4 linked regions of the Notamacropus eugenii genome follow. The protein of the gene in region 1 purifies or fractionates together with the protein of each later gene. This does not show direct contact. Links are inferred from orthologs where the notes say so. Each region holds a gene or a part of one and is shown in the gene's direction. Other genes may lie near its edges. The genes, in order: NCBP1, EIF4G1, KPNA2 and polyadenylate-binding protein 2.

Region 1 (7,620 bases):
GAGTGTGCATTATATTCTTTCCTTTAGTGGAATGTGATGAGAGTAGACCTCATGTTTTTCTCTTGCCTCCCCTCTTTATCCCACCACTAATAAGTCTTTTGCTTGCTTGCCTCTTTTATGAGAGATAATTTGCCCCATATAACTTCTCCCTTTCTCCTCCCAATATTTCTCTCTCACTGCTTGATTTCATTTTTTTTTTTAATATATGATCCCATCCTCTTCAATTCACTCTGTGCACTCTGTCTCTATGTATGTGTGCGTGTGTGCATGTGTGTGTGTGTGTACTCCCACCCAGTGCCCAGATACTGAAATGTTTCAAGAGTTATAAATATTGTCTTTCCATGTAGGAATGTAAACAGTTCAACTTTAGTAAGTCCCTTATGATTTCTCTTTGCTGTTCGCCTTTTCATGGTTCTCTTCATTCTTGTGTTAGAAAGTCAAATTTTCTTTCCAGCTCTGGTCTTTTCATCAGGAAAATTTGAAAGTCTTCTATTTCATTGAAAGACCATTTTTTTCTCCTGAAGTATTATACTCAGTTTTGCTGGGTAGGTGATTCTTGGCTTCAGTCCTAGTTCCTTTGACTTCTGGAATATCCTATTCCATTCCCTTCTATCCCTCAATGTAGAGGGTGCCAGATCTTGTGCTATCCTGATTGTATTTCCACAATACTTGAATTGTTTCTTTCTAGCTGCTTGCAATATTTTCTCTTTCACCTGGGAATTCTGGAGTTTGGCCACAATGCTCCTAGGAGTTTCTCTTTTTGGATCTCTTTCATGCGGTGTTCTGCGGATTCCTTGAATATTTATTTTGCCTTCTGGTTCTAGAATCTCAGGGCAGTTTTCCTTGATAATTTCATGGAAGATGATGTCTAGGCTCTTCTTTTGATCATGGTTTTCAGGTAGTCCCAGAATTTTTACATTGTCTCTCCTGATTCTATTTTCCAGGTCAGTTGTTTTTCCAATAAGATATTTCACATTATCTTCCATTTTTCGAATCTGCGCGGTATGTTCTGAGATATCTGTCTTTCTCGAAAAGTCCTTAGCGTCCATCCGTACCATTCCAGTTTTGAAAGATCTATTTTCTTCAGTGAGCTTTTGAATCTCCTTTTCCATTTGGTTAATTCTGCTTTTGAAAGCATTCTTCTCCTCGTTGGCCCTTTGCACCTCCCTTGCCAGCTGAGTTAGGCTAGTTCTCAAGGTGCCAATTTCTTCAAGATTTTTTTGGTTCTCCTTTAGCAGGCAGCTGATCTGCTTTTCATGCTTCTCCCTCATCCCTCTCATTTCCCTTCCCAGTCTTTCCTCCACCTCTCTAACTTGATTTTCAAAATTCCTCTTGAGCTCTTCCATGGCCCGAGCCCATTGGGTGGGCTGGGACACAGAATCCTTGATTTCTGTGTCTTTGCCTGATGGCAAGCATTGTTCCTCCCCATCAGAAAGGAAGGGAGGAAGTGTCTTTTCTCTGATAAAGTACCCTTCAATAGTTTTATTTCTTTTCCCTTTTCTTGGCATTTTCTCCAACCAGTGGCCTGACCTCTGAATGTTCTCCTCACACCCACCTTGCCTCCTGGTCCTCCCAGCCAGCGTTTGGGGACTGAGATTCAAATGCTGCTTCCCGCCTTAGGATTTTTGGCGGGGGCAGGGCTGCTATTCAGTGTGAGAATTAAGTTCAGGTGGTCAGGGGCAGGGCCGCCTCTCAGGCATAGTTCCCTCTGGGGGTTTATGCACAGACCTTCCACAATGGATCCAGGCTCCTGCCCATTTGGGGAGCCCCCGTCCGCAGCTGCCTCTCAGCCCCCACCTCCCGGGGGGGGGGCCGAGCCTTGGGGGCACCCCACTCCCCTCTCAACCCGCCAACGAGACTCTCTCACCCACCCCCTTCAGTCACCTGTTGGTGGGGGGGGGCCCGTGCCGCCGCTGAAGATCCCGCCTCTGGAGCCCTCTCAGATCTGTGCGTCTTGGAGCCGTGGCCGCCGATGCCGCCGCCGCAGGTCCGGGCTGGGCTCTGCATCTGCAGTGCAACGGACCTTTTGCGAGAGGTTTGCAGGTCCCTCTGTGGGGACCCGCGTGGCCGCTGGAGATCCCATCCCCGTAGCCCTCTCGGATCTCCTCCCCTCAGTGTCGTGGCCGCGGCAGGGCCATACTCTGGTCCTCGTCCCAGAGCCCAGTCCGCGGCGTGAAGGACCCCCCCCGCGAGAGGTCCGCAGGTCTCTCCGGAGCAGGAATCTCCCTCGCTCCAATACTCTGTGGTCTCTGGGTGCAGAATTCGCCCTGGCTTGGTCCCCTCTAGCCATTCTGTGGTTTGTGTGTTCGGAGCTATGTGTATGTGCGTCTTTCTACTTCGCCATCTTGGCTCCGCCCCCTATATTATTTCTTTTACAGAAAAAAAAATCTACTTACATAAAGACACGTATTTATACACACACTGAAAGGAAGTTACTCCTCATCACTATCCTGTTTTGGAGAAGCGAGCACCTGGGCCTCAGGATGTCGATGAGCTTCTCAGGGCTTAGAATCATGCCCTCCTGTCAGCCTGTTCACACACTCTTATTCTATGGGCAGCACTGGGTTCAGCTAGGAGGCTAGGAAACCTCCCTAATTCATAGACTCCACCGCCTGTGGTTCCGTTGAATCGTTCACCACCAGCTCTTAGTCCATTCTTCGTTCTTCGCTCGGCTGACCCGGGCTAAAGCCAGATGGGTCACAGACTCTGGTGGGCGAGGGAAAGGGGAGAATCACGGACTCTAAAAGGGGGAAGGGTCCTCTACGCTAGCTGGCAAGTGAAAGGGTAACTTAACGAATCCAGAAGGAGAGCCAAGGCACAAAAACCACCTCTCCTCCAAGCCTGGCAGAGGCAGCGCAGGACCCTGGGCCTGAGGACCTCTGGCACAGCTGGCATGTACCACCTCCAGCTGGTGTTAGTTTGGCTTCTAGGCCAGTCCACCATCACAAGGGGGGGAGCGGACCGGACAGCTGCCTCTGTGGGTGCTGCCACCCTGCCTCTTCTGAAGACCCAGAAAAGAAGGTGCATGCCACCCACAGGCCTTGGCATCTTTACTTCAAACACAGAAGCTCGGTGACACAGGGGGGATGCAGGCCTTACACTGAAGCTGAAGTCTGACAGCAGGAAGGGCAGACAGACTGCCGGACACACAGGTCTGGAGGCCGTCACACCAAGAGGGCTGGCCACTCAGCAGGACAGCTCGGCCATGGCCCCCCGGGGCTTCTCCAGCGGGTGAGTGACCTGCTCTGGCCCGGCGCTCCAGCCTCTGAGCCACTACCTGCAGCCTTCCCCCCCTCCAGACTGCCAGAGAGTGCCAGCAGAGGGCCCTCGGGCTGCCAGTGTCTTCTCTTCACCCCGGTGTTCCAGGCTCACCGTCCTGTGCACACACCGTGTGACTTTCCATTCCTCTTTTGTTCACACTCGTTTTCAGTTCTTCAGAGTTGCCTCAGTTTCCCCCTCCGTAAAACAGAACTGAACAACCCCCACCTTAGAGAGGAAGGCCTTAACGAGGCCTGCCGGTCTCCAGGCCGGCCATCAACGTCAGTTATGGCTCTCAGGGGTAGGACTGCCGGCCCACCCCCCCGGGGGCCCCCGTGCCACGCGCACTGACCCGGGGGGAGGGGAGGGGTCCGAAGCGTCAACAGAACACCCGGGAGGTCGCAGGAAGTACCTACCTGGCCGGCTCCCGTCTTTGGGGGGCTTCCACCCGCGGGCCCGTCTATCCTAGCAACCACCGGAACACGCAGTCCCCCGAGAGCCCTTCGCGGGCACGTTTCTCCTCCCGACCGGTACTTTACAGACGGCCCCTCAGCCCAGACGTCGCCTACGTCCGGCAGGCGCAAGGGCAGTCGGGAGAACCATCGAGTGGCACAGAAGGCCCAGAGCGTCACCACCTCGGCTCCGCGCGGCCTAGCGTCTGGCCGAGACTCCTTCCTCCTCCCTTCCCCCCGCCCTTTCCCTAAGACGCGCGCCTGCCCAGCCGGGACCGACGCTCTAGGAACTGGCTCTCCCCGCTCCCTGTTCTCCCGGAAGAAGATTAAGCGCGAGGAGCGGGAGGAGGGGAGGGGAGAGAGAAGGCGGCGGAAGTTCGCTCCGCGGCCTTGTTGGGCCGCTCCCTTGGGCTCTCCCGCTTCAGGCTCCCTCACACGCGACGCCTCCCGCCCGGCCTCCCGAGACCCTGACGGGACGTCCTCGGGACGGTGGAGACGGGAGGTGCCCTCTTTCCCCTCCCCCAGCCTCCACGCCCGCCTCGCTCGCGCGAGCTCTAGCGTGCGTGTGCGTCAGCGCCGCAGGCCGGCCCGCAGCTCCCCGCGCCGCCTCGCCACCCCCTCCCCTCGCCGCTTCCGCCCTTTCCCGCTGCCGTGAAGCGAAAGGCGCGGGTTTCCCGCGATCTCCGGCGGCCGCGGAGGCGGAGGGGCGCGCGGCGGGCAGGATGTCGCGGCGGCGGCACAGCGACGAGAACGACGGTAAGTGAGCGGGCGGCGGCGGCCCGGGCCGGGCGGGCGGCCGGGAGGTCGGGCCGGGCGCGGGGCTGCGGAGCCGGCCCGCTCCCGGGATCCCGCTGCAGGCCTCTGGTCCGGGAGCCCCGGCTTCCAGCGCGGCCTCCGCCGCTCCCAGCCGTGACGTAGGGCCGCTGGGGCCTCAGTGTCCCCGTCTGTAAGTGGGCGTGATAACTTAGGATGTACTCAGCATTGTTGTGAAGATCAAGGGCGAATATACGTAAAGCCTTTGTAAGTAGTAAAGTCTTGTGCTAACGTTAGCCATTATTGATAAACGCAGATCTATCCGAGACCCCCCGGGGTTCACGCCCCGTCACCTCCCAGCACTGGCTGCCCGAGCCAGGACCTCGGTCCGCATCAGGAGATGGAGCAGGAGGGGCCTGTTTGACTTTCACCCACGTCTTGTTCTTATTTCGAGCATTAACCAAAAAATATGAAACTGGCATCACTCATTAGATGAAGGTTCTTCACCTTCTCGTGCGCGTCGTGGGCTCCTTCGGGGCCTGTGGACCTTTTTTCAGATAACGTCTTTGAGTGCATGAAGGAGGATTTCCGAGGAAACCAGTGATCTGAAAATGTGGTTATCGAAGGATTTAAAAGGACAACAGCATTACTGACTGGCTTTAAGAGCCCCTGCTGTGGACAGAGCTGTCTGTCTTCAGGGGCGTTCTCTTGTGGACACTTAGAAAGGATGGGCAACAGGTTCACCGTGTGACACCTATCATAGCTGCGCTCTTTAAACAGAATTCTGTAACTTTATTGGTAGTCTCTAGAGGGAAAGGACAAGACCCTGAGTGATTCTTCAGAGCAGGATTCCAAATTCATGTTCAGGGAAATACATATTATGGAGACTTGTTGAAGCTGCAGTAACATAACTAGGCAGGTATCAGAAGTTTCTCATAAAAATGTAAAAATCTCAGAAAATGTTCTATGTGACTGTAACAACAGTAATAGTATTAATCTAACAACTAAGATTTATTTTAAAATATGCATTTTGAAATGCAATATGATTCTGGAAGGGACTAGTGTTTTACATTTCATTTGTTTTGGTTCAGGTGAAAGAGCTAATAGCTTCGGATCCAGACAACCTGGGTTAAATCTGCTGCTTAATACCTTTGTCACATTTGGCAGTTCATCTTACTATGTAAAGTTAGGTGGCTGTGCCTGTGAATCTGAATATTTATTAAGGGTTGTTTCTTACCACACCTCCAGGATAAAGATCTGGTCTCAGAGTCTGGGAAGACCTGAGTTCAAATCCTGTGTGTGACTGGTATTGGTTTTGTGACTCTGGGTAAGTTGTGCCAGGCAACCTTCTAAGACTTTTAAAGTAGCTGAAATAATTACCTGTTAGTTTTGGTTCAAGGAGAGAATTTTTGCTATTGGAATCTCCCTGCAGGGATGAAATCTTAGATCTGGATTTGATTGGTGCTAACTGTTGTGCTAGATGCCTAGAAGTAGAAAGATGAAGTATGATCATCTGATCTCCAACAGTTTAAAATCTTTTTTGCCATACCTTTCCTCTGTAGTGCTCTGAAATAAATATGTGATTGTTCTCTTTATCAGAGAGGTTGACAATGAACTTAGGTAACATTTTTTATTCATTTGAACTAGAGATCTTGTCAGAATGAGCAAATTTAGAGGTGATCTGCAAATCTGTATTTTGCTAAAGTCCATCTCCTTGGATTTTCAAAAGTTGTGTCAGTGGATGCCAGGCTTTATCGTACCCTGTCAAACTGGAAAGATTTTGAATGTAGTCCCAGAGATGAGGACAAGCATAGGTAAATGAGGAGTCACTCAGGTTGAGCACTCCAATGATGATTTTTCTGGCTACAATTGATTGAAACTGTCTGCTAAGTATATTTATCCACTGAAGTATATTTCATGTCTTTTACAAGTAATTAAATACACTAAATATGTGGTTTTTAAAAAATATGTAACATGCACAGTAATTAAATTACATTGGCATAAGAGTAATCCCTATTTTTGTCTCTGGAGGGAACTTTAGTTTTTTACACCTTTTTCAAGTTGATACTTTTCACTACCACTTTTTTTTAAAAAAAGGAGATTCCCACAGAGATGTGAACATGAAAAAAATATGTCTTAAATGGAAATATACAACTATAAACCTATCATCACTTAACATAGCAAATATATATTGTAAATCATTCTCATTTTAATTTAAAAAAAACATTTCAAGTGCCTACTAAGTGTAGGAAACTGCCCTTAACTGGGGATACATGGTTGAAAAATGACATAGCCCCTGTCTTAAATGAACTTTTTCTGCTGGAGGAAAAGATATTGTTTATATAGATACAGATAATACAAGGTAGAGCATAATAGGAATAAAGGAAAGATGAATTCAAAATACTCTAGGAAAAATTGAGGAGGAACAGAACAGTTTCATCTGGGGGGATCAGGGAACTCTTCATGAAGAGGGTGATACCTCAGTTGATTCTTAAAGAGAGAGATTGTCCCACTTTTGCCTTTGCATGCACTGTGTCTCAGATAGATATAGATTGGGATTAAGGGACAGGCTGTCATAAGCAGAATGAAAAAAGTTCGGGAAATGTGGGGAGAGATGAATGACTGAAGTTCATAGAAAAAAACAGAAACATATTTAGAAAATACTTGGCTCATACTCCTAATTTCTGCCTAATTAATACTAAATAGATTTCATCCACCTTGAGTTAAATGTTTTTTGACTTTATAGCTTAACTTTATGAAGACTAGAGACTAGAGTCCATTCAGTTAGTGTGAGGGAGAGCATAATTTGAAAAAGATGATTAGTTTTGTTAAAGCCTTACACAATCAAAGGCATCTTTCTCTTCTCTTGAAACTTTTGTTTTCCAATTTTCTCATAAATTTTTATTTATATCTTAGTAAATCTTGACTCATGATGAAGTTTTTAAGAATCGTTGCAAGATGTATTTAGTAGGATTCTTCCATAGACAACCTTTACATTGTAACACTGTTTATTATACAAGTTACAGCTTTGGGAGCTACCACAACTTCCCTAGTGTTCTTAAAATGTATCATCTCTACCATTGCTCTTAAGATAGTTTATTGATACTTCTTTCTGCCTCAACTTGTAAGGCCAAGGTATTATTTGCTTCATTTCCCC
Region 2 (7,634 bases), on another chromosome or scaffold:
TGTAGACCAGCACTTTGAGACCCAATGGCGCAATGACCAAAAATTAATTCAAAATCAAAGGCCTAATGAATCCCCAGGTGTTTCTGGCTGCCCTTGTCCATGTTGCATCGTCTCAGTCTCACTGAGGCCTTCATTGTGAACGCAAGTGTGTACACTCTGCCCTGTGCGCGCCCTTGGGCCACACAGCAATGGTGAAAAGGGATGGGAACTGGGAAAAGCCTAAGGAGCCTGGATCAGACCCGTGCTTTTAGATTTATAACAAAATCTTGTTAGTTTAGTGAGGTGCAAATACCTATTCACGTGCACATTCTGGAACAGAGCGAAAGGCTATAGCGAAGCCCCAGACCTCTTTGGTTGGCTTGGGGATCGGAGCCCACAGGGTTGTTTCCCAGTGCAGACTGCCTTGTTCCTCATTTCCCCTTGACCTCTTCCTCTCCCAGTTGCTTTTCAGGTTTTGCTCTTATTTACATACTGTGCTCAGCAGGGCTTTTGTCAAGGGTTTGGGTTTGCAGGGGCTCTCAGATCCTCTTTAAATTATTTGTCTCTTCCCCCTTTTCCTTGAGTTCTTCATCTCACTCACATCCATTCCATTCATGTATCACAGTCTATCAGTCATTGCAGTTCCCTTATTTTACAGAAGATGGAACTTACTGTCTTGGGTGAATGATTACCCCCCAGGCTCAGAGACAAGAAATGGCAAAGCCAGGGCTCAAGCCCCTCTCTTCTGACTTTACCCTGTTGGCCCCCAGGGGCCCTCACACATTTGGATCAGAGCCTGTGGGTGCTGGGATGGGAGCTCTCTCTTCGAGCTCCCTCTGACTTTTTTTTATATCCTCTACCATACAGCTTAGGTATGGGGAGCCCACGCTGCGCCGGGCAGTACCTCTGGCATTGGCCTTGATCTCAGTCTCCAACCCAAGGCTCAACATCTTGGACACCTTAAGCAAATTCTCCCATGATGCTGACCCGGAGGTATCCTATAACTCCATATTTGCCATGGGCATGGTGGGCAGTGGTGAGTATCAGCAGAGAAAGGCAGGTATTGGGCACAAGGGGGCATCTGGGCCAGGTTTGGGGAATGACTAACTCTGTGTAGCATCCCTGCCCCCAGGAGTCCCTCTCTGCTGCTTCATCTTCTCAGGTACCAACAATGCTCGTCTGGCTGCCATGCTGCGCCAGCTAGCCCAGTACCATGCCAAGGACCCAAACAACCTCTTCATGGTCCGCTTGGCCCAGGTGAGGGGGGTGCTCTTCTCTAAGAGACCTGGAGGTGTGGGGGCAGGGTGGGTTGTATACATGTTGGGCCTAGACCATCAGGCTTTCTGGCTGGCTGGTCTTGCTGGAGTCCTGACCCTCCCTGTATCCTAAACAGGGCTTGACACATTTGGGGAAGGGCACCCTCACTCTCTGCCCCTACCACAGTGATCGGCAGCTTATGAGTCAGGTTGCTGTGGCTGGGCTGCTCACCGTGCTCGTCTCCTTCCTCGATGTCCGCAACAGTGAGTGCCCCTTGGAAAAGTCCTAGAAGGGCTGACTCAGCGTCAGGGCAACTCTCCCAAGATGTTAGGGCTCCTTTGGAGATACCTGGATGTTCAGGTTCTGACCATTGGGTGGGTCTTGGGGCGTAGCTGTGCTTTTCTTGGGCTACTCTTGTACTGTTTTATGCCCAGGCCTGACTCCCTTTAGCTGGGCTACAGTGGGACTGGCTGGCTTCTGGGGTGAGGGACTGGCCATTAATTCCATTGTATTTGGTGTTTTAGGTAACTTTTCCCCACCTTTCAAGAGTCAGGCAGAGTGACCTCAGGGTTAGGGGAGCAAGCAGAGTGTGGGCAGAATGAAAGAATGACAGCCCTGGGGAGCATAAGGCAGTTTGGGGAGTGAGGAGCGTCGAGACGGAGGAGGTGGGTTGGGGAAAGCTGGGGGTGCTGAGCTAGAGCCACTGAGGCAGCTTAGGAGTGGATGGAGGAAAGCTGGTCACCTGCCCCTCTCTATTTCATTCTTAGTCATTCTGGGCAAGTCCCACTATGTGCTCTATGGGTTGGTGGCTGCCATGCAGCCCCGAATGCTGGTCACCTTTGATGAGGAGCTCCGGCCGTTGCCAGTATCTGTCCGTGTGGGCCAGGTGAGAGATCTTCAGGGGCTGGAACACGGCAGCCATTCCTCTGGACCTCTGCAGGGCAGGAGGGCTACTGGATTCACTGCTCTAAGACTCTTTCTCCATTTTTTATCCTTTAGGCAGTCGATGTGGTGGGCCAGGCTGGGAAGCCCAAGACCATCACCGGATTCCAGACACACACAACTCCAGTGTTGCTGGCTCATGGGGAACGGGCTGAGCTAGCCACTGAGGAGTTTTTGCCTGTCACTCCCATCCTGGAGGGCTTCGTAATCTTGAGGAAGAACCCCAACTATGATGTCTGAGTGGCCCTGGGGGCCCTAAATTTTAACTTGAGTCTGGGGACTAGGCAATACTCCTTATTCCAGAGGTGGCTCTCCAACAGCCCTTGGGGGGAAGCTGTTTCCCTCCTGTTTTTTTTTGTTACAGAATGAGATGACTATGTTGAATTAAAGACCCTTGTGCCCTCTGTTTCATTAATGTCTTTTTTCCTGGGGTGTGCTAGCTGGGGATGAGGGTACCTGGGCACAGGCTGGAAGGAATGTTCTGGATCACCAAGTTTTTCAACAATTGAAAGTTTATTTCTTTAGCTCATCAGTCACTAAGCATTCATTAAATTCATTACTGTGTGGCAGGCACTGGTCATACAAAGGAAAATGAAATCGTTCCTACCTACCTTCCAAAGAGCTTACTTTCGTTCGTGTGTGTGTTTTCTACAGCTTCTGTACGCAAGCTCTCAGGGGAGCAGGAAATCTATTTTCACCACTTGGGATGGAAATGGAGGCTACATCCCAGTGAGGTTCCGCCACTCAGGATGTCAATCTGTGGGTAGCTCTGTTGGAGCTGTTCTCCCTAATTGATTTGCAGTGGAATTAAAAACTAGATAACCACATTTCTTAGTGTGGTGGAGAATAAGAAAGCCCACTGGGTATTTAGGAGTTAGGCCTGTGTGTGTGCTTTCACAAGGGTATCAGCACAGATGGGCTGCGGAGACTTTCTTACTGTAATTTCACGTTTTCATAAAGCTAAGAAAAGTTTTCTGGATGCTCTTTTGCTCTTGCTCCCCGTGGTGCAAGGCAGCCTTGCCCTGTAGCAGATTAAGTGCGAGCTCAGCAAAATCAGCCAACACATGGATTTGTGCTGGACACGATAGGCTACCTCCTATATCCATGGTCCCCCACCTCCGGGCCCTTTCTGCTGACTCTGTGGTTCCCTGCTGTGTTTTTGTGTAGGTCAAGTGATGAGAACATTAAAGAGAATGAGACCGGGCCAGCAGCAAACTGGGCTTCTTGGTCCTGTCTCCATTTCTACTGGTCACTGTTGGACAGCCTAGCCTTGACTTTCCCTACAGTCCAACTCTACTGACCTCTGCCACCTCCGGGAGAGTAAGCCTCTGGGGTTGGGAATCTGAGGCAAACAGGGCGAGGTCACACAGCTAGTACCTGTCTGTCCTCCTAACGCCAGCCCACCTGGCTGCCCCTGCCCTTCCCTGACCCCTTCTCTTATGCTCCGCTATTATCTGCTCTCCTCGGACCTTAAAAGTTCCCCGCAACTTTCAATCCAAAAGACCTTCAGCAGCCTCCTACGGGCAGCTGGTGGGTACTCGTGGGAGAGGCCCAAATGGCATCACCGTGATACAGCCAAGTTCGGCGCCCCACCGAGGCCCACCAGAACCAATCGTGCGTCCCGCGTTTCCTCGGGGCTGTCTCAGTGCTAGCACGTCGTTGGGCTCGCTGTCCTTCGGAAGGAAAGGGGGTGCGGTCCCCAGGACTCACTGGGCCTCGCGCCTGTTCTTTCGTGTCACTTCCGCTGATAAAATCCCATCAGCTTTGGGTGCTTGGCCACCTGCCGGTGCCAGGGATTTTCGTGGTCAGAAGCCCATTTACCTTCTGCCACGGAGGGGACGGGACAAGGCCCGCTGGGGGGCATCACGCTGGGTGGGCACGGGCTGGGGCAGTTCCTCCAGCTCCTCCGGTCCGCGCTCAGCCCACACGTGGAGATGGGACGCGGACGCGGACACTCCATCCATGCGGCGCTCCCGGACCTCGTGACCTGGGGGCCCTGGGGGAGCCTGCGCCAACCTCCTCCGGCGGAGGGGGCACGACAGCCCGGAGTGGCTCCTGAGGGCAGGGTCTGGTCCGCGGCGGCCCCCAGGGGCTCCGAAGGCCCCCCCCGACAGAGGAATGCGGTTGAGCCAGAGTGGAACTTCTGGCCTCCCGGCGGGCTCCACGTGATCGACGAGGGCCCCCGCGGCTGGGGGCGGGGAAGACTCTGCGTAGCGGCAGCGGGGGGACGCCGGCGTGACGGCGATGACGACACACGCCGCAGGCGGGCCACCTCCCAGCCCCGGCCGGTGCCACCCAGCCCCCTGCGCCGCGGCAGTCACGTGGCAGGCCGGGCCGCGCCTGCGCCTGCGCCTGCGCCTGCGCCTCGGGGAAGAGGCGGCGGCGGAGCCGGAGCGGTGTGCGGGAGCCGGAAATGGTCGTGGACGGCGCCTGTGCGGCTGCGTGGGGCTCGGCCGCGCGGACTGAAGGAGACTGAAGGTAACGGCGCCATGTCCGGGCCCGAGCCGGGCCCCCTCCCCCCGGCATCCGCCGCCATCCGGCCCGGGGCCGCCCGCTCGGCCCCGCTGCCGCCGGGCCCAGCGCGGCCCGGCCCCGCCCCGCCGCCCGCCCTCCCTCCGGGCCGGCCGGTCCCGGCCTCGCGCTCAGCCCAACTCGGCCCGCCGCCCGCCCGGCCCCCTGCCAGCCCACGTGTGCCGGCCGCCGGCCGGGTCGAGCGCGGGGCCGGGCCGGGGGCCGGGGCCGAGCCTGCGGAGCGCGGGGTCGGGGTCGGGGCCAGGGCCGGGGCCGAGCGGGCGGCGGGGCGGGAAGTGACACGTTGTTCTCTGGCGCCGCCGCCTCGGGAGGGAGGAGCCCGGGCCGGCCCCAGGCCCAGGCCCAGGCCCAGGCCTAGGCCTTGCTCGACCCCGGCCCGGCTGGTCGACCCGCTCCCTTCTCCGCTCCCCTCCTCTGCCTCTCCCGGGTGCGGGCCCGGCCGCCCCCTCCTCCAGCCTGTGCTCGACCAGAGGAAGCCCAGCACCTACTGTGTGCGGGCCGCGCGCCCCCCCGGCAAGCGTTGCCTGTTCTGCACCTACTGTGTGCGGGCATTGGGGTCCCCCCTCCGTGTTCTTGGCTCTGTGAGATCAAGCACTGCCTGCTCAGCCTCCCTGTGTGCCAGGCACTAAGGCCCCTTCTTTCCTCTTGTTCTGTAAAGAAATCTTTGCTGTTCAGCACCTACTGCGTGCCAGGCGTTGGGCCCTAGCCTCTCTTCTTTACTCTGTAAGATCAAGCACCGCGTGCCAGGCATTTGGGGACCCTCTTCCCCTCCCTCCTGTCTGCTCTGTAAGAAGCCTTCTTATCTGTCACTGCTGTGTGCCAGGCCATGCAGCCCCATTTCTCTGCTGGCCTCTGCTCCGTAAGAGCAAGTCTTTTCCTGTTTAGCACCTACTGTGTGCCAGGCACTGGGGTCCTCCCCTGTGTTCTCTGCTATGTAAGATCAAGCACTGCTTTTTTGGTCCCTAAAGTATGCTGGGCGTTCACCCCCTCCCTTTGTAAGAGCAGGAATTTCCTATTTAGCCCCTACTGTGTGCCAGCCACTGCCACTGTGCCTGACCTCTCTCTCCTTTTCCCTATCCCCCCAGTCTCTTTGCTCTTCCCCTTTTCCTAGGACTAGTATGTCCTCAGGGCTTCTCTCAGGAACCCCAGGCAGGCCTCCTGACCTTCCCTTCAAACTCTCTCCCTCTCTTCTCCATTGTAGGAACCAGTGTCAGTTCTGGTTCTGGACCTCTTCCTGATAAACCCCCCCCCACCACCACCACCACCTCTTTTGAACTCCTGTGTCCAGGACACCCACCCACCCACTGAATTCAGACCCTCACTTTGGCCCAGCTGGGCCCCAGCTGGCTTCCCCGAGGCTTCCTCTGGCACTTTGTCCTTCACGTGCTTTCTTAGGCAAAAATCATTTATCTTCTGGTGTGTCTCTTACCATCCCCTGGAGGGGGGGGGGGGGGGGTTCCTTCCTTTTTTGTTCTTGGAGCATGGTGCCAGGGAGACCTTGAATTTCTGGTCCGGTTGGTCTTAGGCTTCTGGAGCCAGGTTGATTCCCCCTCCCCTTCTAATCCTAGGCCCCTCGGATGCCCAGAGCCTGTAGGCCACAGCGTGGATTTGTTGTTTCCCGAGGGGGTGAGTGAGGGGCAGTTGGGGCTGGGCTCAGATTCCTGTCTGTGGTCTGGAAACCTGCAAAGGTGGGAGACCCTAGCTTTAATTATTAGGGACTGAGCTTCAAGGCCTTAGATCCCCTCCCTGGTGCCTCTTTGAACACACGCCCCCCTCTCTTCACAGGTGCTGGGGGGACCCTGATGTGGCACCAAATGAAATGAACAAAGCTCCACAGCCCACAGGCCCCCCACCTGCCCCATCCCCTGGACTCCCCCAGGTAATGGGGGACTGTAGAGAAAGGCTGGGCCCAGAACTGAGCTGGGGGGGAGAACAAGTTCCAGTTGGATTCCCCAGCCCCTAGATGGGAGGCAAAGTGGGAGTCTTGGTGGGGGGGCCCATGGCCTCCTGGTTCTGGGGGAACTGAACTTGCCAGCCCCAGCTCTGTTAGCTGTCTTGTCTTGAGCCACTTTGTTCTCCCCCCAGTGGTTTCCATTCCCCCTTAGTTTCTCTTCTTGCTGAATTCTGGTCTCCCCCTCTATAGCCGGCATTTCCCCCGGGGCAGACGGCACCGGTGGTGTTTAACCCGCCACCAGCGACCCAAATGAACACGCCTTCTCAGCCCCGCCAGGTGAGGGTCTGTGGGGAGGCAGCTGGGACTTGGGGGGCTGGGGAAGGACCAGGAGAGTTGAGTGGTCAGGGCCTGGCTCCTCGCACCTGCCTCTGATCTCTTCCAATCCTTGTTCTCCTGTGTCCCCTTATTCTTTTTCAGTGCATTATTTGATAATGAGTGCCCACAGGAGACACGCCTAGGTTATGGGGGTACCCCTAACGGGGAGCCCCACAGAGCTGGGAGCAGTGCACCTGGGGTGGCCCTAATGGAGCTTACATCTTTTCTGTCTCCTCTCTTCTCCTGGTGGTCGCAGTAGCTCTGGTCATTGTCCCTTGTGGCCACTCTAGCCCATGGGGGAGAGGAGCCCCATTTTTTCTCCCCTGCTTCCTTCCTCCTAAGAAGGGATGCTTCTTTCCCTATTCTCCTCACTCCATCCCTGGCCACCTGGGGGATAATTCTCTTCTTTCCTGTCCCCATGTGCTCTCAGGGAGGATTCAGGTCTCTGCAGGTAATGCCTCTTGCCTGATCCTGGACCATAGCCTGGTCTCCCAGTCACGGGCGGGGCAGCAGGGACAGGGTCCTGGGGGATGATGGGGAGATAGCCTCCTGTCCACCCAAGATGGAGCCCTAGGGTGGCAGGGGGGCTGCTGTAGTGCATGTTGAGAGGGCTTAGCTTTACCGAGCCTCTGGTCGTGGGAAGGGAAAGAGCCCT
Region 3 (7,469 bases), on another chromosome or scaffold:
CATTCAAGACTACACATCATATTACCAGAAGAAATGGAGAAAGTGATAGAGGTACATCTTGGGTGGCAGAGTACAGGAAAAATGAAGCAAGGTGTCAAGTATCGGGACAGAGATAACCAAGAACCTTGATCATGGGATTCTTAAGGGAGACAAAATCACCCAGTGGCCTGAGGAGGGGCAGCCAACCAGAGTTCTGAGACCATTGAATCCTACTGGTACTCTGAGAACAGATAAAAGTAGAAGTCAGCAGAAGAAACCAAAGAAAACAGCTAGGACCAAACAGAGCCAGAACATGACATCTAAGTATATGGGAGTTTGCAGAACTTGACCCTTGCACTAAGTCACAATTTAGGAAATAAGACTGGAAAAATGAATAAATACTGATAGAAAATTATGATGGAGCCAGGAGATGTTTAAGATATAAACCCCAAAATGAATAATTCCACATGGTCTACATGCAAAGACTTCAAAGCAAATCAAAGATTTGCCACGTGCTCTTCTGGAATTTCTGAAATAAATGAACCAAGAACTTTCTCTCCAAATCATTTTTACACGGATTTATAATCTATCCTTCTCACTAATGATCACTACCTTTCATTAAACAAACAAAAACCCTAATAATAAGAATTAACAATTCAGCAAAACAAATTCCCACATTGACCATGCCCCCAAAATGTATGTTTTCCTGTGCATTTTAAGTTCATAACCACTCTGTTGTATCCTTTTATCATTAATTGACTGGACTCCAGGTTTATTTTTGCGTCAATTAGAATTCTAAGGTCTTTCAAAGTTGTTTTTCTCTACAATATTTCTGTCATATAAATCATTCTCTTAGGTCTGCCCACTTTGTATTACTTCATAGAGGTCTCCCTAGTTTCCTTGAAATTTTCTTTTATTATTTATTATGGCATAGTAATCTTCTACTACCTTCCTATATCACAGTTTGTTTACCCATTCCCCAACAAGACAGCCCCTAAGTTTCCAATAGGAACCACTACTTTGAAAAGAGCTCCTATAAATATTTTTGTACATATAGGTTCTTTTCCTCTTTGAGGTATTGGCCTAGTAGTGGTATAGCTGGGTCAAGGGGTATACACAGTTAATAACTTTTGGGGCATAGTTCCAAATTGCTTTCTAGAATGGCTGGACTAGTTCACACATCTACGAGCATTAGTATGCCTATTTTTCTGGAAGCCTCCATTTGTCATTTTCCTTTTTTCTCATCTTTGCCAGTCTACTGGGTATGAAGTGAAACCTCAGTTTCTTAAATTAGCATTTCTATAATTTTAGTGATATAGAGCATTTTTTCATATGGTTGTTGGTACCTTGGATTTCTTTCTTTTAAAATTGCCTATTCATCTTTTGACCATTTTTCTTGAGACATGGCTCTTAGTTTTATAGATTTGTATAAATTCCTCATCTAGCTAGGATTTGAGACTTTTATCAGAGAAATATGCTGCAAAGTTTCTTTCTCAATCACATTTCTCTTGTAATTTTAACTATATTAATTTTGTTTGCACCAAAACTGTCCATTTTATCTTGTGTGATCTTTTCTATTGCTTGTTTAGTCATGAACTCTTCCACTCTGCATAGATCTGAAAGGTAATTTCTTTCTTCTCTAATTCATGATTTGACCAAATGTTACATTTAGATCATGTAATCATCATTTGGAGTGTTATCTTGGCATATGGTATGTGGTACTGATCCAAACCTAATTTCCATCATACTGCTATCTAGTTTTGGTTTTTTAATTATTTTTTAGTTTTAACATTCACTTCCATAAGATTTTGAGTTCCCTCCCTTTCCCGCCACCCCAAGATGGTGTGCATTCTGATTATCCCTTCCCCTACTCTGCCCTCCCTTCTAAAACAGCCCCCATCCCCTTCTACTTTATTGTATAGTGCAAGATAGATTTCTATACCCCATTGTCTGTATATTGCTAGCTAGTTTTACTAGCAGTTTTTGTCAAACAGTGATTCTAAAGCAAAAGTTTAAAAATGATCATATAAATAAGAGCTTTAGAGTTAAGAATAGGAAAAGGAATGGGAACTCTAGAGAAAAGAACTTAGTAGAACAGTTTAATACAAGAAGTATAAAATCTTACTCAGTAACAGAATCCTTGAAAATTAGATTTGATCATAGACACCGGTGACTCCATGAGATAACAAATAAATACTAGAATTTAAAATCAAAAGACTGTAAAACTATCCAATATCATCTGCCTCATTTTCCTCAACTATAAAATGGGGATAATAGCACCTACCTTGCACAGTTATCGTGAGCATCAAATGAGATATTTTTAGAGCACTTACAAAGTAGCCCAGCACTTAATAAATGCTTGTTTCTTTGCCCTTCTTTATGCAATAGGTCTAAAATCTTGGGTATAAGTATGCTCCAAAATGGTTTGGCAACAATGATTTGGTAAAAATCCAAATGATTCAATGAAATTTGAAAATAGTTGTGACATTTTCAAGTTTTCAGAGGTGGCAAATGGCAGAGCTTGACTTAAGATCCAAGGCTTTCCCCTTTACTTTTATAACAGCTGTGTGAGAACTTGTGGTCTCTTAGTGGTAATTTCAACACCTTTATTGGTTCAAAAATTAAGAAACAATGAGTTAAAATTGTAATTGAGTTCCACTACAGTCATATTAATAGCATTTGGTTTGGATTTAATTTGTGCTATATAGGCACATTAATGTAGCCAACTCCTGGGTGAGGAAAGGCCGACCAATATAACAAGTTAGAGCCTTAAAGGTACTTAGAGCACTGAGAGGTTTACTTGTCACACAGCCGGTAGGTCTTCCTGGCTTCTAGGCAGGTTCCCTATCCACTATCAAAATTAAGAACTAAGAATTGTTTTGGACTAGATGACCTCTGGAGGCTTTGTACTGAGGTGGGAGAGAGAGAGTAATACCAGGAAAATGCCATAGTGGAGTCACTATCCAGGAGAGGGTGAGTGTTAAATGCCGCAGAGATATTCAAGTCACCTCTCTGTTGGACAACGTCCTAGTTACTGTGGCAATACCTATGACTGTCGGGATTTTCTTTACAATCTCAAATGAAAGATTTTTATTTGAAAGTTAATTGCCTCATTCCGTTTTGGCTTTGGAAGATCAGGCAACAGCACTTTTCAAAGTGTGGTCTTTGAGTCCAAGTTCCTTAAAGAGTCCCTTAAAGTCAAAACTGTTTTCATAATAATACTAATACTACTATACTACTAATAATAATAATACTAAAACATTTATTTGGCTATTAAAATGCCCCTCCCTTTTCCAACTACATATTTATGTAGTATGAACTTCAAACAAATCAATATAATGCAACAATCTGAAGACAAAAGCAGATATGAGAATCCAGCTGTCTTCAATTAAGCCAGACATTAAAGAGATTTGCAACATTATGTAGAACGGCCCGTCTTCTCAGAAAATGTATGGGAAAAGTTATTTTTCATATAAAAAATTCTTAATGTTCACATTTCCAAATGAACTAAACACTTAAAAATTTAATTTCTAATACAATAAATATCCATAAATATTACAGCAAAAAGTTTTGGGGGTCCTTGGGAAATTAAGGTCCTTCAGATCAAAAAGTTAGAGGCCTCCTACAACACAGCATCTATTGTAGCTGCCCCCCAAAAAATACAAATTGAAGATTTTCTAAAACGAAAAAATTCGAAATCTCCTACAATCTAAGAGACGAGACCTCCCTGAAGCAAGCACGTGGAAAACAATCATTTGTCCAAGCTGCCCATAGAAACTATTTTAAAATATTTTTTGCACGTTTAGCACTGGTCCGGGCACACAGCGACAACTTAATCTTTGCCATGGACTTGACGATAAATCGCAGAGCTCCCCAAAATCGAAGAGTGTGCACAGATCTCACTGATTAAGAATGAAGGCCCTCCGCCATCCCAGCACTTGGAGACATTAAAACATCCCTCTACCAAAGCATGGCTGCAAAGACTTCTGGGATGTATACGCAGGTTTTGCTCTCCCCTCATCTCACGAGAACTCTTCCCTTCTCCACTCCCCCGCCCTCTCGCTCGACTACTCCCTCTGCAGGCTCCATCTTGGGACCACCCAGCCTCGTGTTTTTCAAATCCACCAATGGTCGCGTTGCTTGGGCTCGAATGAGCCAATGGGAGCTCCGGACCGCCGGGAAATTTAAATCGCGCCGGAGGGCCTCACGCGCCACACGGCTTTCGGGGCTGAGCTGCGGTGGTTGCTGGAAGTCTAACCGTGACGCAGCTGCGACCTCCTCTCGCTTCCCCTACGGGGCCCGGCGACCTCCTACAACGTGAGTTCTTTTCTCTCGCCCGTCGAGAGCGGAGACTAGGCCGGCCGGAAACGGTTGACTCCGAGGCTGTCGGGAGGGAGGGGTGTGGGAGAATCGCCTGTTGCTCTCCAGGCCTCGTGGGGGAGGGCCTGGTTGGGGCCCTGGGCCTCGGGCCGCGCTCGGGCGCGTCCCCGCGGTGGCAGCGGCAGCGTTCCCGAACCCGGCTCCTCTGGGTCACTCTGCCGAGGGCGGCCGGTGGCAGCGGAGGTCCGAGATCGGCCTCTGTTACTTCAACCGCTCCCCCCGCCTGGGCTGCGGAGTGAGAGTGTGCGAGAGCGCGCGTGCGTGTGTAGCCGAGTTTATTTGGGGAAGGGGGGCACGCTGCAGAGGAGTGGGCTTCCCACGACCCTCGGCCCAAGCGTGACGTGTTCTTTTCCTCGGATCTCCGGGCCTATCTGCTAGATGGGCCGCCGCCCGCCGCCCTCCCCCTCCCCCTCCCCCGACAACCGGGATGCCCAGGCCTTTGTGTCTAGCGGTGTCGCCTCCCCCGAGCTTCTCCGACGACAGCGCTTAGGGCCCAGCTGGTCTCTGGGAGCGGGGTGCGGAGGGAAGGTGGGGGAGGGGAGGGCTCCTGAATATTCTCTTTCTCCCACCCAGCGTCTGGTTTAGGGAAGGGTCGGAAGTACTAACCTTGCGGCCTGCCCAGGGCGTGAAGTCTGTGTTGGTTCCTGAGGTTCAGTGACAACTAAGCCACACCTTGGGCCCGCCACCCTGGGCCCTGACTGTAATCCGTGCTGTATTTAGTGGGCTCTTACTAAATACCGGCCTCGCCCCCAGCTCAGGAAAGGAGCCCCTCACTCTCTTCGTTTTCTCGGCTTCTAATCAATCCCACCTTAAAGAGATTTTTCCTGCCTTCCATCTAAAAAAATGATCTATCATTATCGATGCTGAACAGGCAGCTGGTTGTTGTCGTCTTCCCATTAAGACCTGCACTCCTTGAGGACCGAAATTGTATTTTTGCCTTTTTAATATCCGTAGCACTTAGCGTACTGCCTGGCACATAGTGAGTGCTTAATCAGTAACGTCATGAAGTAATTGATAGATCGCATCTGGAAGGTCTTGATTGTAACTGCTTACACCTTTGTGTTTGCAATTAAGCTGCGAGAGGACCCTTAATGTTAAACCTTAAATATTGTCTTTCTCTAAAGGACATGTCATAGCTAGGTAGGAGCAAATTGATGCTTGCCAACTTTAAATTCTTGAATTGTTTTAAAAATTAAATTTGAAATGTCATTTGTTTGGGGAAACGTCCAAAAATTTACTAAAATTGTACTGTTATGACTACTTAAATGAAATAGAATAATATTTTGGTGTAAGGGACATTTAATGGAGAGACTGGCTAGGGTTTAATTGCTGGCAGCTTATCACTTAGCTGTCAGTTAACAAGCATTTATTAAGAGGTTACTGTGTACCAGGTAGGCATTGAGCTAAGCTGTGCTTAATATAGATTTATTGTGAACTGGAGTACTTCATAGTTTTAATGCATATAGTTTGCTGGCTATGCTGTGGTTCCTATTGAATGGTACATTCTTTGTCTGGTAACCACAAGTAGAAAAATGAAGCAAGCATGTAGAAATATTTATAATATATAATATGATACTTTGGTAGTTGACATATTGCTATGTTAGTGCTGGTTTTTTCCTTTGGTTGAAGTAATAATTACTGTTTAATACAATAAAATCCTGTTGGATTTCTTATAAGGCATCGAAATTTCTTTTTTGTTTCAGTTCCCTCTTTGCTTTTCTCCCAGTGTTGAACACAACCATGTCCACCAATGAAAATGCTAATTCACCAGCTGCCCGGCTTAATAGATTTAAGAACAAAGGAAAAGACAGCACAGTGAGTAGTAGCCTTAATCTTGTTATTTTCTAGATAATTTTTTTGGGTGGAGGAGAAAGGAGAGTTCTTGGATGCTGAAATGAATTTAAAGGCAACCTAAATTTGTCTTAGATAATTCAGAAGATGATTGTGGATAAAAAACCAAAAACACTTTGATTTTATTTTCCTCAAGGAAATGAGGCGCCGGCGTATTGAAGTGAACGTAGAACTGAGGAAAGCTAAAAAAGATGACCAGATGCTGAAAAGAAGAAATGTCAGCACTTTTCCTGATGATGCTACTTCTCCTCTGCAAGAAAACCGAAATAACCAGGTAAATTCTCCGTTTCTTAATTCCAGCAGATTTTGCACATATGATGTTTATTCTTTGGAGTTTGTTTATATAATCTGTAAATCTTCAGAAAAGACTTATACCCTGTATGAATTGGCCTATGATTGTTCCTGAAACCTAGACATTCTTACTTCTTGAAGTAGCAGGCTTGATATGACAGAAAATGGTTTCAGTAACTGGCTGTTGAGGGATAGTGTAATCCTTTTGTCACCCTGTATTAACCTCATCTTTGTTTTTTTAGTTTGTTTTTTTGATAGTCCCTTTCCCAACATCTGTGGGAAAGTGTTTCATCTCTCTACTTTTTGCCCTATTTTCTTTTGGGTAGGGTGGGCAGGAGTTGGGAGATTATAGCCACTTAACTACTCTCTACCTCTAGTAGAATGTTGTCAAACAGATCTGTAAGATACTTTGAAAAATCATATTACTCTAATATTTCCATTGCCCTTCTTGGGGCGGGGTACAAACTTTGGGCATGTAAGATTTTTCAGACCAAAATAATTCTTATTACCTGTCCCGTATCCTGTTTCTTCATGCCATCCATAAATTTTTTAAATGGTGGTCATAATTTCCTCTGAGTTCATGGTAACTGTTCCATATTCTGATGACCCCTGATAATGTATATCTTCTTTTTTGTGCGTGTTTTATTCTGATTAAGACAAGCACCATGGAATAAATTTTAAACAATGCGCTAGAACCAGATGCCTGCAACTGTATAGTATTTGTATTGATGATCACAAAACCCTGGGGGGAAATTACTTAGCAATACTGAGGAAACTAGAAAGTGGTATCTCAAAAAATGGGAACAGACCAACATAATTGTGGAACTTGATTGAAATCTTAGCAAGCTGTGGCTTAAAAGAATACATAGATAACATTGATTATAAATAAACTGTTTGCATAATAAAATAATATACTGAATCAGAAGGGAAAAGAATAGAAAAATTTTTGATTAGTGCTGGCAAATGGC
Region 4 (7,500 bases), on another chromosome or scaffold:
GGTATCATGAGCCAGAAGGCACTGAGTCAGTCACAGTTGGTTAGCGTGGAGAGGACAGTTAGCACTGACTTAACAGTGACAAACCCAGACCAACTAACAGCTCACAACTGGAGCGTGTGCTCCTCTTCCCTTACAACGCAGCTCTTTCCCCCACCCTCTACCACAGACTCCTAACCTGTGGCCCCTGTTAGCTCCCTTGGGGGTCTTTAATAGCAGGGGCACCAGGACCCATGGTCAGAAGGACAAAAAACGCACTGCTCTAAGGCTCCTGCCTCTGGATGGAGGCAGGGGTTATTGGTTTAAAGGGGAGGATGCTCAGACTTGGTCTCTGGAAGCATGGCTGCATGGGACCACAGTGGGCAGTTTTGGCCAGACACTCCTTCTGGGGGCAGTGGAATCCCCTAAGATCTTTCCTTCAGAAAACCAGGGACTTTTCTATTTGGGGCTGTTCAGTTCCTGGGGGTTGTCTCTTAGCCAAGCAGGCTGAGTGTGACTCCCTGTTTTTAAGTCCATTTCATTAAAAGTAGGGGGAAACACATTTAATTGCCATTTTCTAAAGGATAAACTTGGTGGAGAGGCTGAGGGGAGTGTTTCTTGCTCCCAAGAGCCCAAAGGGGCAGGTGGGAGGCTTTGCTTAGGCCATGGGAGGAGTGGAGGTGGGGCAGCTAGGTCCTGAGAGTGCTTTTCCCACTTCCCACTTCTGCCAGGACATACATTATTTTTCTTTTTCAAGTCAGAAAACAATGCGAGAACGGATTTGGTTAGTTTAGAAGAAAAGAAAAAAGCTCTATAAATATAAATATATATTCATGTATTTTTATTTAATAATTTATAAATACTGGGTTCATTTGACTTTTATTTTTGTGTAATATGTAATGGTCGTATTAAGAAATAAAATCCAGAAGTTTAATGAGGACTGAACAGGGTTGTGACTTCTGCATTGACAACTGGAAGGATGGGGTGGGTGGGTACTGGCCTCACTCCCAAACAACTTTTTGTGATTTTGTTAGGAGAAGGAATTAGGGCAAGAGGGATGTGGGAAGTGCTCCAAGTAAGCTTCGGGGTTTCTGATTAAGAATTAATCTAGTAGGGCCTCTCCTTCCATCCATATGACCTAAGCCAGTCTTTCTTGGACAACAAGGGCCTGGGCAAGTCCTGGCCTTTCCCAAGCATACTTTTCTGTCTCATCCTCTCCTTCCCTGCCACCTCCCTTCACCCCCAGCTATCATTCTCAGGCCTTAAACTTCAGTTTGGGGGATTATTTCTGCTTGAATGTTCTGTTGAGAGTCAGAGTGGTACAGCAAACAGCTGACTGAGGCAGCCAAGTCTGGCTTTTGTTGCATGCTCTTTGTGGCTTTGGGGAAGTCAGCTAACCCTCTCAGTGGCCCAGGAAACTCTTGAGACTATAGGTTTCAGAACAGTTATCCATCTGCATTACCAACGAAATCACAGTCTGGATTACAAAAAAATGCTGCTGCTTGTTTTATATTAAATTCAGTTATGAAAAAAATAGAGTTTTGTTCCTTCTCCAATTCCCAGAATCAATGGATCCTTGTCATTCTACATGTAAGCCATAGACTATACATAGTCTGTTCCTCTGCTTCTACACGGGGCTTTTTCAAAACCATTTCTGACAAAAATCGAATTTCAAAAATCTTCAGACAACAATATTCCAGTCTTTTATGTAATATAGTGTTACCCTCCCCCGCTCTGAAGCTCTGAACATTCATCCTCATTATAGTTAGGAAATCCTTTCATTTGTCTCGACTGCCTCTTTTGCCTCCCTCATCAACTCCCCCAAACTTCAGATTCCAGCCAAGTCTTCCTGCATCTTTCCTTCACTCCTTCTTGACCACCTGCCTCCTCTTGCCTCTTCCCAGTGTTCAAACTGTTGCTTACAACAACCTCCCACTGTACATCTGACCAGCTCTATTTCCAGTAGTTCAACTGTCACCTTTCTACCATCTCAGGATCTCTTCACTTCCCCAGAAAGTGTTTATTTCTCGCCATTAATTGTTGACTTCAACAAACATTTGTTAAGCCAAGTCCTTAATTAATATGCTAGAAGTTGGGGAAACAAATATGAAATAAAATAGCCCTTATACTTAAGGACCTTGTAATCTAGTAGGCAAGTAAAAATTTCATGATTATCTTTTTGAGGTTTTTCATATGGTGTTGACTGCACTAAAAGTAGTATCTAATGAGGTTGTAGTACCATACATTCTGTGCATCCATTGTGTTTCTCTCTGATACAAACTCTTTAATACGGAGTGTGAGTAAAAACTTTTCCAAATTCATTATACTCTTAAGAGAGGATCTGTTTCAATATCAATGCATTTCTGCTTTCCCTGCTTGCTTTATACTGTGAACTCCTTTGTTTAGACTGGTTTGCATCCTTACTCAAGCCTATAGCTAAGGTCAGTTTTATTCTTAGGTTTTAAGGTACATGCTCAGTCAATCAACGTTTGCCAGTTGTGCTAAGCTGTTCAACTTGATGAATTTTGTCTTTGTATGATATTTAACGGACTTTATTTCTAATCTCTTCCTTTACCATCCATATCATCTTAGTAGGTCTTCATGAGTGTAGGCAGGGCCAAAGAAAGTTCACTGGGTGGTCAGCCTTCTGGTGAGGAGCCTCTTGGCTAGAGGTCTGTCTGGTTGTCAGACCCATTCTGAAAGCCTCCTGCTTTGGTTAGACCTGCCAGAGCCCTGCTCTAGTCACAGTGTTTGGGAAGCCTGGCTCAGCTCAGTGCCACCGGGCCCAGCTCAGTGCCACCGGGCTCAGCTCAGTGCCACCGGGCCCAGCTCAGTGCCACCCGGCCCAGCTCAGTGCCACCGGGCCCAGCTCAGTGCCGCTCGGCTCAGTGCCACCCAGCTTGGCTTGGCTCAGTGCCACCGGGCTCAGCTCAGTGTCACCCGGTTCAGCTCTGTGCCACCAGGCTCAGCTCAGTGCCACCGGGCCCAGCTCAGTGCCACCCAGCTTGGCTCGGCTCAGTGCCACCCGGCTCGGCTCAGTGTCACCCGGTTCGGCTCTGTGCCACCGGGCTCGGCTCTGTGCCACCGGGCCCAGCTCAGTGCCACCCGGTTCAGCTCTGTGCCACCGGGTTCAGCTCAGTGTCACCCGGTTCAGCTCTGTGCCACCGGGCCCAGCTCAGTGCCACCGGGCCCAGCTCAGTGCCACCCGGCTCAGCTCAGTGTCACCCGGCTCAGCTCAGTGTCACCCGGTTCAGCTCTGTGCCACCGGGCCCAGCTCAGTGCCACCGGGCCCAGCTCAGTGCCACCCGGCTCAGCTCAGTGCCACCCGGCTCAGCTCAGTGCCACCGGGCCCAGCTCAGTGCCACCCGGCTCAGCTCAGTGCCACCGGGCCCAGCTCAGTGCCACCCGGCTCAGCTCAGTGCCACCGGGCCCAGCTCAGTGCCACCCGGCTCAGCTCAGTGCCACCCGGCTCAGCTCAGTGCCACCCGGCTCAGCTCAGTGCCACCGGGCCCAGCTCAGTGCCACCCGGCTCAGCTCAGTGCCACCGGGCCCAGCTCAGTGCCACCCGGCTCAGCTCAGTGCCACCGGGCCCAGCTCAGTGCCACCGGGCCCAGCTCAGTGCCACCCGGCTCAGCTCAGTGCCACCAGGCCGCCCTGCCAGGGCTCTGCAGGATGAAGGCATTGTAGGCCGTGCTGAGGTGAAGCCCTAGGCCCAGTGGGCACGCCTCTGAGAACGCTCGGGTTTAGCTCTGCCAGGTCTGCGTGCCGGCTCCGTACTGCGAAGAGGGCGGACTTGGGCAGGGAACGGGCCGCGTGCCTGCCGCACGCCAGGGGGCCTCTCGAGGCCTTCTCGTGGTGGCAGTGGTGGCAGGCCAGGCGGCGCTGTTGTGTCCGGGGGAGGCTGGCGGAGGCCGGGGCGGGGCGGGCGCTGCCGAGGCGGCGCTCGGGGGCTCGGGCCTGGCCTCGCCGCGCTGCCCTTCTCAGGGTTCGCTTGCCCTCAGACTGACTGAGGGAAGCAAGATGGCGGCGCCCTCACATTCGATCATATGACCCGGGGTCCCGTGCTCTGAGTGGGACGGTCCGTTTGGCTGGAGCGGTCACGTGTTGTAACCTAGGTCGGAGCCCTTCGAAGCCCTGGGGCCAATGGGCAGCCGAGCTTCGGCTAGGCTTGCGGGCGGGCTGCGTGAGGTTCCGTTCCGCCTTTCGTGGTTAGCGGCCAATCGCACGGCACGGCGAGATGAGCGCGGAGGGGCGCGGCCCATAGGGAGACCGTTGGGGATGGCGTCACAGCGTGGCAGGATTGTGACCTAATGACGGGGGGAGGCGGGACCGACGTTGACTGACAGGCACGTTCCCCTACTGAGATTCGAGGATTTGGCTAGCTGCCCCGCCTTAGAGGCGTGGTCTTGTTTGACTGCCAAGTATTTCTACCCAATGGACTCCGAGCGCCCGGTGACGGGCAGGCTGCTTGACTAATGAGCCCCCAGCGTGGCCGGCGCGGCTCTCCAATCGCCGGGCGGCGGGCCCCAGTCTGAGCGGCTATGGCGGCGGCGGCGGCGGCGGCAGCAGCAGCGGGGGCTGCGGGCGGTCGAGGCTCCGGGCCGGGGCGGCGGCGCCATCTTGTGCCCGGGGCCGGGGGGGAACCCGGGGAGGGGGCCCCGGGCGGCGCGGGGGACTACGGGAACGGGCTGGAGGCGGAGGAGCTGGAGCCTGAAGAATTGCTGCTAGAGCCAGAGCCCGAGCCCGAGCCCGAGGAGGAGCCGCCCCGGCCCCGCGCCCCCCCGGGAGCCTCCGGCCCTGGGCCCGGCGCAGGAGCCCCCGGCAGTCAGGAGGAGGAAGAAGAGCCGGGCCTGGTGGAGGGCGACCCGGGGGACGGCGCTATCGAGGACCCGGTGAGGACGGGGGCTCGGGCGGGAGGTCGGGGTCATGGGGGAAGGGCCTGCGGCCCGGGGCAGGCGAGGGGCCGCCGTGGCGGAGGCCGGCGGGGGAGGGGGCGGGCGGGTCGTGGGCGGGGAATTACGCGGAGCTGGGCGGGACGGGACGGACTCGGAGTGCTGGCTGGCTGGCGGCGGCGGCGGCGGCGGGCGGGAGGCCGAGGCTGGGGCCCAGGCCGGAGCCGGAGCCGGAGCCGGACGCGGTGGGGCCCGGGCCGGGCCGAGGCGGGGTGGGGCGGGGGCCGTCCCCTCCCGGCTCGGCTGAGCCCGCTCTCCCACCCCGCCCTCCCCAGGAGCTGGAGGCCATCAAAGCCCGAGTAAGGGAGATGGAGGAAGAGGCGGAGAAGCTGAAGGAGCTTCAGAACGAGGTGGAGAAGCAGATGAACATGAGCCCCCCCCCAGGCAATGGTGAGCGGGGGGGGGGGGGGGGGGGGGGGGGGGGGGCGGGGAGGGGGAGGGGCGGGGCCGCCGCCCGTGACCTTGCGCCCTCGCCCGCACTCCACGGGCCTGGGGAGGGCCTTTAATGCCCGGGGGGGGCGCTGGAGGGGCTGGGGGCCGCTGGGAGCCGGGCATCGCTCGTGTTTTGTAGCCGGCCCAGTGATCATGTCCATCGAGGAGAAGATGGAGGCCGACGCCCGCTCCATCTACGTGGGCAACGTGAGTGGCCGCGCTGCGGGGCTTCGGGGAGGGGGCGGGGCCCGGCGGGGGGGTGGCACCGGGGGCCTCCGCCCCCCGTGCCAGGGCTGGGGCCCGGCCTGTGGGTGAAGTGGGGCTCTGTGTGCCCAGGTGGACTACGGCGCGACAGCGGAAGAGCTGGAGGCCCATTTCCATGGCTGTGGTTCCGTTAACCGAGTCACCATCCTTTGTGACAAGTTCAGCGGCCACCCCAAGGGGTGAGTGGGGGGTCCCCGCGGTGCGCCCTGGGCAGCGCCGACAGGGAGCGTCCTGCCCTCTGTGCTTAGGGTGGCAGGGGCCCCCTGCGGGGAGCTGACGCGCCAGCCTTGGGGGTGAGGGCACGCTGAACGCCCGCCTCCGTGTCTCCCCTCCAGCTTCGCTTATATAGAATTTTCAGATAAAGATTCAGTGAGGACGTCGATGGCCTTGGACGACTCTCTCTTCCGAGGAAGACAGATCAAAGTGAGCGCTTCCTGCCCCGGTTCGGGAGGTCTCCAGGACCGAGGGCTGCCCCTAACCTGCCTTGGCCTTTGCGTTGGCTCAGGTGATCCCCAAACGGACCAATCGACCGGGAATCAGCACCACGGATCGGGGCTTTCCTCGTGCCCGCTATCGTGCCAGGGCTACCAACTACAGCAGTTCACGCTCTCGATTCTATAGTGGCTTCAACAGCAGACCCCGGGGCCGAGTCTACAGGTCAGGATAGATGGGCTGCTCCCGCCTCCTTCCCTCTGGGCCTCGTGCCCTCCTCCCTAGAGGAGCTGCCAGCCTGGGCTGGGGGGCAGTGGCGGGGGGAGGCGTCCCTCCTAGGCTTGTTAGTAGGAGGGCTTCAGGGGAGGCCTGGGTCGAACCGGGTCTTAGTGCCCCTTCTGGGAAGGGGGAGGGGCGGGATGGACTTTGTTTCCCTCAGGTGGTGGGAAGGCATTGGGCAGTGTCAGTCCGAGTGGATCTGCCCAGCCCTGCTGAGGGTGCTGGAGTTAGGGTGGCCAGCTTTTGTCAGGGTTTTAGGGGTGCTCGTTCCCTTAGTGTCTGGATGCTTGTTGCCTTGAGATCCTAGGTCAGCTCCTTTACTTTAGTCTCCCTGACGTGTCTAGGGGAAGTTAAGCATCCTAGTGAGCCCCTAGGAGCTCAGAAGAGCTGCTGTTCCTGGTGCCTGGAGAGTTGGGGAAGGGGCTGGGGGGTGATGGGGAAATCCCCTGCCAGGGCAGCAGGAGCGCTTTTGGGGAGAGTGTTTGGAACCTGAGCCTGTCCTCAGTCTTGTTCTCGCTCCTTACTGGGCCGTGCTCTGGGCAGCTTCCCCTCCGCTGGCATGTGCCCTCTGGTGGGACCTGAAGCCTTTCCCCTGAGAGGGAGCTGGAGTTGGACCAGGAGGACCAGGGGAGGGGGCTGTGCTGAGGTGTCCCTTAACCATGTTTACACCCAACTCTCCTTCTTTTTTCTAGGGGCCGGGCTAGAGCGACGTCATGGTATTCCCCTTACTAAAAAACACAAAAAAACAAAAAAAAAACCAAACCAAAAAAACAAAAAAGTGTGTATTAGGAGGAGAGAGAGGAAAAAAAGGAAAGAAGGAAAAAGGAATTAAAAAAAAGAAAAACAGAAGATGACCTTGATGGAAAAAAAATATTTTTAAAAAAAAAGATATACTGTGGAAGGGGGGAGAATCCCATAACTAACTGCTGAGGAGGGACCTGCTTCTGAGGGTCTGGTCAGGGCAAGGGCCCCCCCCAACCCCCGGGGAATGGGACAGGGGGCTGCTCATTCATTCTGGGGGTTCGACATGGACAAGTCTCGACTTCGAAAGCTGTTCCCTACCCCTCTCCCCCCTGCCTCCTCTCCTCACTTCACCCACTGGGGCTGCTCAGGGGTGGGGGCAGGATGGTGGGAAAGGTTTTACCTAAGGGTATGTAAGGACACA

Evidence for each region.
Region 2: the proteins of NCBP1 (region 1) and EIF4G1 purify together in Homo sapiens (affinity purification with western blotting; 3 studies listed by BioGRID and IntAct, with this or other methods). This does not show direct contact. The link is inferred for Notamacropus eugenii from reciprocal best matches to the Homo sapiens genes NCBP1 and EIF4G1.
Region 3: the proteins of NCBP1 (region 1) and KPNA2 purify together in Homo sapiens (co-immunoprecipitation; 5 studies listed by BioGRID and IntAct, with this or other methods). This does not show direct contact. The link is inferred for Notamacropus eugenii from reciprocal best matches to the Homo sapiens genes NCBP1 and KPNA2.
Region 4: the proteins of NCBP1 (region 1) and polyadenylate-binding protein 2 purify together in Homo sapiens (co-immunoprecipitation; 3 studies listed by BioGRID and IntAct, with this or other methods). This does not show direct contact. The link is inferred for Notamacropus eugenii from reciprocal best matches to the Homo sapiens genes NCBP1 and PABPN1.

The regions. Positions count from the first base shown.
Region 1 is NC_092874.1:314,403,471-314,411,090, reverse strand, and holds the start of NCBP1 (nuclear cap-binding protein subunit 1), read left to right. Parts: upstream 1-4,279; 5' UTR 4,280-4,432; coding exon 4,433-4,466; intron 4,467-7,620. Other genes in the region: TSTD2 (thiosulfate sulfurtransferase/rhodanese-like domain-containing protein 2), read right to left, coding at 3,389-3,403. UniProt on the Homo sapiens protein: Component of the cap-binding complex (CBC), which binds cotranscriptionally to the 5'-cap of pre-mRNAs and is involved in various processes such as pre-mRNA splicing, translation regulation, nonsense-mediated mRNA decay, RNA-mediated gene silencing (RNAi) by microRNAs (miRNAs) and mRNA export.
Region 2 is NC_092873.1:57,030,666-57,038,299, reverse strand, and holds the start of EIF4G1 (eukaryotic translation initiation factor 4 gamma 1), read left to right. Parts: upstream 1-4,529; 5' UTR 4,530-4,656; intron 4,657-6,278; 5' UTR 6,279-6,336; intron 6,337-6,495; 5' UTR 6,496-6,529; coding exon 6,530-6,589; intron 6,590-6,853; coding exon 6,854-6,940; intron 6,941-7,259; exon of another isoform or gene 7,260-7,397; coding exon of another isoform or gene 7,398-7,430; intron 7,431-7,634. Other genes in the region: PSMD2 (26S proteasome non-ATPase regulatory subunit 2), read left to right, coding at 847-1,015, 1,142-1,236, 1,373-1,499, 2,004-2,122, 2,236-2,418.
Region 3 is NC_092873.1:327,758,411-327,765,879, reverse strand, and holds the start of KPNA2 (importin subunit alpha-1), read left to right. Parts: upstream 1-4,026; 5' UTR 4,027-4,129; coding exon 4,130-4,296; intron 4,297-4,298; exon of another isoform or gene 4,299-4,616; intron 4,617-4,965; exon of another isoform or gene 4,966-5,280; intron 5,281-6,062; coding exon 6,063-6,174; intron 6,175-6,346; coding exon 6,347-6,484; intron 6,485-7,469.
Region 4 is NC_092878.1:9,833,180-9,840,679, reverse strand, and holds the start of polyadenylate-binding protein 2, read left to right. Parts: upstream 1-4,362; 5' UTR 4,363-4,517; coding exon 4,518-4,868; intron 4,869-4,986; exon of another isoform or gene 4,987-5,113; intron 5,114-5,203; coding exon 5,204-5,318; intron 5,319-5,499; coding exon 5,500-5,567; intron 5,568-5,696; coding exon 5,697-5,803; intron 5,804-5,959; coding exon 5,960-6,047; intron 6,048-6,129; coding exon 6,130-6,281; intron 6,282-7,027; coding exon 7,028-7,067; 3' UTR 7,068-7,500.